Linked DNA regions of Canis lupus familiaris. The protein of the gene in region 2 interacts with the protein of the main gene of each other region in a pairwise test. Links are inferred from orthologs where the notes say so. Each region holds a gene or a part of one and is shown on either strand. Other genes may lie near its edges.

Region 1 (3,765 bases), on a different chromosome or scaffold from region 2:
TTCTGATTACAATGCAAAAGGCAGAAATTAATTACCAAATCAGGGAAAAAACTTCCCTTATTGTGAAGATTAAAACATTATCTTAAGTGATGGTTTGAGCCAAAGGTGAAATAGCAACAAAATTTGGAACTTAAGACATAGAATGAAAGCAAAAGGGCAATTACTAGCTTCTATGAATTAGAAAAGGTGTTCCTTCTTCAAGTAGAAAAGAAAGATGGTTATTATCTTCAGACAGCCAAGAGGCAACAGCTCTGAGCCCAGCCGGCTGGAAGATGAGCACGAGGCTCAAGGAAATTAAAAGCAGAGTGAGTTGGTAGCTATGAAAGAAAAAAGCATAAGCTTGTTTTCTCTAAGGCAAATAAAAAAAAAAATCCACAAAGCCTACTAGAGTGTGAGTTTCCCCTTAATATTGGAAGCAAAATTGTAGTTAGTAAAGTACTTGCTAACAAGACTTTGAAGGCCAAGAAAAAGGCTCACTTAAGGAATGTTTTCTTTGAATTTAATATTCTCAAGGTCCTGACTCTTAGGCTAAAAGACAAAGCCCACTACAGGATTTAATTGATTAAATTGATTAAATGATTACAATTTTATATCACCTGTAAATGAATCAGGAGCAAGCTTTTACTTAACCTGTCTTAAAGGATGCTTGTATTTGAAGCCAAGAAAAGTCCCAGTTTGTGATTGCATTAAGAAACCATTCAGATATTCTCTTTTTACTGCAGTAAAATATTTTCTTTTCTTTTTTTTTAAGATTTATTTATTTATTTATTCATGATAGACATAGAGAGAGAGAGAGAGAGAGAGGCAGAGACACAGGCAGAGGGAGAAGCAGGCTCCATGCAGGGAGCCCGATGCGGGACTCGATCCCGGGACTCCAGGATTGCGCCCTGGGCCAAAGGCAGGCGCCAAACTGCTGAGCCACGCAGGGATCCCCCTGCAATAAAATATTTTCAAATGGAGCGATTTTTAAAATTATTTCTCTAAACTCACAAAAACACGCAATACTTTTGGGTTCTGCTTTCTTTTATGGTAACATCTCTCCTAGAATGGGATCAATAAGCTCCAGGTGCTATGAAAGTCCAGGGAAGATTTCTCACACCATGCACTTCGGTGGTAAAACAAAACAAAACAAAACAAAACAAAACAAAACATACTTCAGTTGAGTTTGGGTTTGTAAGTAGTGGAAATGACATAGGGAGGTCACGGAATACAGTTAGAACAAGTTGAATAAAAACCTAGAAAAGTAGGGAGGGAAAGGACAGGCATAAAGATCTTTCTGGGCAGAAGACTAGGAATAGTTCAAGGTTGGTTTTGATTCATGAGTCACTGGGCAGGGGTTTAAGGGGCTTCTATTGTGACAAAAAGAAACAGAAGCTGGAGATAGGCTATGATAGTACAGTGACAAAATAAAGACCTAGTTGCTAGGGTCAGGGAGTAGACACCAGAAGCTTGGAGAAGGACAGATGGAGCCCTAGCTCCTGGTCCCCTTTCTCACCCTCCTTCCCCCCTAGGTCATCTGAAATGTCACCTTTCACCTAATCATCATCTCCTTGGTTTCAGACCTTAACTCTGGTCTCTCGACTTCTGCTTAGTTCCACATTCTCTACCCTTTTGCAAAGAGGACTACCACATTCTCTTCCTGGAGACTTTAAGGCTTTTCTGCTTGCCACATGCTCTAATCACCAGCCCCTCCTAACTCAGCTGAGATGGAAGTGTCCACCCTCTCCAAAACTCTTAAGCCAACTCCCGGTCTCAATCAAGAGTCTTTGGGCCCTAGGATTATCCTTGCCTTATTTGAAATTGGATCACTTCCTCCTGTCTCCTGGTGTTTTCTCCCTTCCCCAAACAATAGTGACCATCAAGTAGCTGAACAACAGACTGCACAGAAGTTTGAAAATCTCTTAAAAGATATTAAAGATATCATTAAAAATGTGACAAGTAATGAAGAAAAGATCACAGAAGTCAAAGATTCTTTTGAGGAAATCAGTATTTCTGAGGATGTGTCAGAACTTAAAGAAAAAATCAGAGAACTTGATAAGATAAATGAAGTGTTATTGAACAACCTGCTTGGTTGCTCAGACCTAGAGAAAGAAGAGAATGCAAAAAAACAGATGATAGTGGAAAACCAGAACTGTAAGGACACGGTACAAGTCTTTAGAAGTGATTTGGTAAATTGTTCAGAAGAAAACAGAGCCCTTGATGAAACTCAGTTAAGTAAGGAAAAAGCAAAATATAGACTCCCTCATGTTCAAGAAGAAAATATCAAACTTAGGAACAACATGGAGCAGTTACTACAGGAAGCAGAACACTGGAATGTGCAACATGCTGAGCTCAGTGAACTAATAAGAACATATCAGAAATCTCAGAAAGATATACAAGAAACTCTTAAAAATAATGGAGCACATTTCCAAACTCAATCAAATGAGAAGGTGTCAGCTCAGCATGAACTGGAGGAACAAGTGAAAAAACTGGAACATGACACATATTCATTGCATTTGATTTCAGCTTTGCTGGAAAATGAATGTCAGATCTTACAGCAGAGAATAGAGCTTCTCAAGGAACTCCATCATCAGAAAGAGGGAACTCTGCAAGAGAAGCCAATTCAGAAAAACGGTGAAAAGGACAAGAAAAAACAGAAGCTATCAGCAGAGCATAAGCCAAAAATGCAAGAAAAAGAGGGTACATTTCAGAAAAAAGACAAATTCTACAGAGGCCTGGATGCTGGTAGCAAGAAAGCGCTTAATAACCACTTCAATACTCATATTGCAAGAGGAACTCCTGTGGAAAAATCATCCAGCAGCCTAACTTAGAAAATACCAAAAGTAGAAGAAAAGGCAATTCTTCAAAAACTGTAACACATCAACTCTAGGCATAATCAATCATCAAACCTAGGATAGATCTGCTGGTTTGACAAGAGTAAACCATAGAACAAGAAGATTAACACTTAGATTATTCATTACCTCAGTAGTTATGTAAGTTTGGTGTTTCATGACCATTAGTGCCAGTATCAAGTTCATAACCTGTCGTACAATTTGCTTGTTTTTTGTATTTATTAGAGATCCTATGACACTGTAACCAAGAGGGAGAAGTTATAGGTCCAATTAATAAAGATCTAAATAAAAACTAGAATAAAAATGAAAAGTTTGTTTTATTTAATCATTTACTGGGTAAGGGGAATTCTGGGAGGAAAAAGTATATGACCCTTTTATTGTGAACCTTTAAAGCTCATGATTGAAATGCATGTTTCCTTTTCCTGTTATCTACTGAAGTGTGGGAAGTAGTGACGTAAAGAAGAAAAAAAATGCTGATAAACCAACCCAGAGTAGTTTTTCTCTTCTCATAAGTGTCCCCATTCCCTAAGTACTGTTTTTCATAATATTCCTCTCCTGCTCCTCCACTAGTGAACAGTGGGCATACCAAGCAGCAGAGGCCCTTGGCGAAGGATACGTCAGTTGGTTTAGAAGAATAGATGTATATCTAGATTTTGTTCTGTGTTGGCAAAATTCTTCCCATTCCTCCAGGTGGGGATAGTAGAGTTACCCAAGGGAAAAAGCAGTATTTTCTATTGAGGGACCTGGGCTTCTGGGTCGCCTGGGTGCCTCAGTGGTTGACTGGCTGCCTTCAGCTCAGGGCGTTATCCCGGGGTCCCAGGATCGAGCCCCACGTTTGGCTCTCCGCAGGGAGCCTGCTTCTCCCTCTGCCTGTGTCTCTGCCTCTCTCTGTGTTTCTCATGAATAAATAAATAAAATCTTAAAAAAAAAAGGG
Region 2 (3,652 bases):
TAACACTATTTCCAAATCAATCTAGAGCTCACATCAACAGAGTCAACATCAACATACCAGCATTTATAATTCTATACAATAATTTTTATTGATATTAAATAATATATGTACATTAATATTAAATTATTAAGTACATTCTGATAATCTTGGTTGAACATGTATATATATCTGTGTAATTCTTCTTCACTTCTATACCAGTCAAGAGCCAGTGCTTGTATTAGACTGTGTAGTGGGCTGACCAGGTGGATATGGAAAGAACCAGAATGTGGAGAGGATCACTAAGTGTACTGGGTCAATTACAAATAAGATCAGGTTTTGGTAAAAGTATTCTTTTTGGAAGAATGCATCATGTTGTAATCTTCTTATAAACAATATAGTTGGATTAGTAAACCAATATAAAAAGCACAATTTTTGTGTAGATATCTACCCTATAGTTACTTCAACATAATTCAAGTGATGAATTTCATAGAAAGAGCCCAAACTACAATACCATATAGAAATACCACAATTTTAGAATTTATTTCCCTAACATAAAAATTAAGATATGTAGGTAAATGTTATTGTGATAGATAAAATGTTTTATTTTCAAGATATGTCAATGAGTTCATATTATTTCTCTGTAGCTGAGAAAAATATCACTAACCCCATAAGAATGTAATCAATAAATACTATACACAAAGTCACAATAAAATGTTCATATGGATAACAAAAATCAGGACAAATGAGATTCTTTCTATATGGTATGGCAGATACAAAATGATTTTATAAAACAAACTGAATATAAAAGTCCTAAAACACTTCAGGCTTTAAAAGTATTGCCTCCAAAAGAGCCAATAATACTCCAATAATACTATAATAACTTAACGATATAAATCTCTATCCAAAAATCCAGTTAAAAAAATTAGTTGCTGAGGTGCCTAGGTGGCTCAGTGGGTCAAGTGTTTGGTCTGCCTTTCCCTCGGGTCAGGATCTCAGGGTCTGGGGATGGAGCTTCAAGTCAGGGCTCCCTGCTCAGCAGGGAGCCTGCTTCTCACACTCCTAGCCCCTCCTTCACCCATCTTGGCTTGTACTCTCTCCCTCCCTCTCTAATAAGTAAAATCCTTTTTTTTTTTAATTTTAACTGTTTTAGTTTAGTCAAGAGAGTCTACACCTTTCAGAAAATAATCCTGAATCTAAGGTAGCTGTGAACTAAAGCCACAGTGGGGCAAAAGGCTCAGAGGTTTAAAAATAAAAGGCGGGATCCCTGGGTGGCGCAGCGGTTTGGCGCCTGCCTTTGGCCCAGGGTGCGATCCTAGAGACCCGGGATCGAATCCCACGTCGGGCTCCCGGTGCATGGAGCCTGCTTCTCCCTCTGCCTGTGTCTCTGCCTCTCTCTCTCTCTGTGTGTGACTATCATAAATAAATAAAGAAAAAAAAACATAAAAATAAAAGGCATGGATGAGAGAGAGAAGACAGTGTGGACGTGTATTTCATGCTTACAAAGGGGAAAAAGAGAGCTTGGCTTTTTAGCACCTCTCAGCTGTTACTGGTTCTCTTTGGTAGAATAGGAAACACCAAGAGCCTTGAGAGAAAGGAGGAGGTTACATAAAAACTACAGCCTTTCCTTTATCAAACTCACACAAGCTAAACAAGGAGATAAACCGATAACAAAAAAAGAAAAAATTAAGAAGTTACTGGAGATAACTACCATTTCAATTCCAAGCAAGACAAAGATATGGGTCAAATCTCCGGAAATTCATATATTGCCTATAGCTCGAGACTGAATGACAAAAGTTCTGCTTACCATTCTCAACGTGGGCAAGCCTATGCATGAGAGGTAGCCAGACAAGGCACTGGGGAGGAGGATCGGCCATCATCGTGTCTAAAAACATATTTAGCATTATCTTTTTCTGTGAAGAGAAGAAAAACAAACATACTTTATATTCTTCAAGTACCTCTGAATTCCAAAATTAAGTTAATCTAGAAGTTTCTCAACCAAGCTGTAATGAATTCCATGTGAAATTCTATAGCAAAGTACAATTACATTTTACATTACTATAGACATTGCAACACATTGTACATTACCACTATATTCAATGCATTTCCACACACGTTGAGTCTTAACCATATAAGGTAAATAGTTTAGATATCACTATCTTCATCTTACAGATGAGAAAAAGAAGGAACAAAGCATTTAAATGATTTATAAAGATCTTGGGACACCTTGGTGGCTCCGCTGGTTGAGCATCTGACTCTTGGTTTCAGCTCAGGTCATGATCTCAGAGTTGTGGGATTGAGCCTTGCTTCAGGCTCCGAACTCAGCAGGAAGCCTGTTTGGGATTCTCTTTCTTTCTCTCTCTCTCAAATAAGTAAATCTTTAGGGGATGAATGAATGAATGAATGAATAACCTGTAAAGGTCCTACCTAAATCACATAAAGCGAGGACTGGAACTCAGCTGCCCTTCAAATTACTATTTCTCTTACCTGTGGGGTAGACAGACATTCCACACCTTGTTATAGAACAACATCATTGAGAGCAGAAACTACTCCATTTGTTGTTTACTGTATTGCCAGCATTTCGGGGTTTTGGGTTTTTTTGTTTTGTTTTGTTTTGTTTTGTTTTACGATTTTATTTATTTATTCATGAGAGACTCACAGAGAGAGAGGCAGAGACATAGGCAGAGGGAGAAGCAGGCTCCATGCAGGGAGCCTGATGTGGGACTTGATCCCGATACCGGCACTCTGGGATCACACCCCAAGCCAAACACAGACACTCAATCACTGAGCCACCCAGGCGTCCCTTGCCAGCATTTCATAACAGTGCCAGGCACACAACAGGCACTGGATAAGTAATCGTTGAGTCCATACAAAAGTGAGGAGCAAACACTGTTAAAAATCACTTGACAACTTTCTCATTTACAGAAAGAAAACTAAAGTGCAGAAAAGTGAAGTAATTAGACCCAGTCACAGAGATAGTGAAAATAGGGATGAAAATAGACTCTAAACATCCAACGTCCATCACTCCCCTGTAACACCACCTCCCCAGCTAGACTTTTTTTTTTTTTTAAGATTTAATTTATTTACTCACGAGAGACACAGAGAGAGAGAAGGAGAGAGGCAGAGACACAGAGGGAGAAGCAGGCTCCATGCCGGGAGCCCGACGTGGGACTCAATCCCAGGTCTCCAGGATCATGCCCTGGATCGAAGGTGGCACTAAACCACTGAGCCACCCAGGGATCTCTGTTTTTGTGTATCTTTTTGGTAACTATGAGAATCTTGATTCCATTGTACATAAGGAGATAATTCTTATTAACAATAATCTTAAGAAAAAAAATTGGTAATTAGGGAACAGAAAAAGGAAGATAAAGTAGATGGCAAGGCAAGAAAGAGACTTTTGTAATAAAAACTTGAAAAAGAGGAAGAAAAATTAAGGAAAGCCTCCAACTGAGGACAGAGATTGGAGGCCAACACTGAATAGGGGTAGGGCAGGGGCAAGCAAGAGGGCTTATGGAGGGCTTCCTACTGTTTGATAACAGTAGGAAGTTACCATCCAAAGGCTCTTTATAGAAAGCTGTGCACTGGTAGTGAGGTTTGAGAAATACCCACTTAATTAGGCTAAATAAAGTTTTCCAAAGTGTTTTCCATCTCAGGCATCCAAGTCATTGATGTTTCT

Evidence for each region. The genes of interacting proteins can lie anywhere in the genome.
Region 1: the proteins of DTNB (region 2) and SPZ1 interact in binary tests that used the Homo sapiens proteins (3 or more experiments, as listed by UniProt). The two-hybrid records come from large-scale screens. The link is inferred for Canis lupus familiaris from reciprocal best matches to the Homo sapiens genes DTNB and SPZ1.

What each region holds. Positions count from the first base shown.
Region 1 is NC_049224.1:26,863,645-26,867,409, reverse strand, and holds SPZ1 (spermatogenic leucine zipper protein 1), read left to right. Parts: upstream 1-1,432; 5' UTR 1,433-1,706; coding exon 1,707-2,810; 3' UTR 2,811-3,141; downstream 3,142-3,765. UniProt on the Homo sapiens protein: Transcription factor that binds to the DNA sequence 5'-CANNTG-3'(E box) and the G-box motif. May play an important role in the regulation of cell proliferation and differentiation during spermatogenesis.
Region 2 is NC_049238.1:19,846,911-19,850,562, forward strand, and holds part of DTNB (dystrobrevin beta), read right to left. Parts: intron 1,890-3,652; coding exon 1,784-1,889; intron 1-1,783.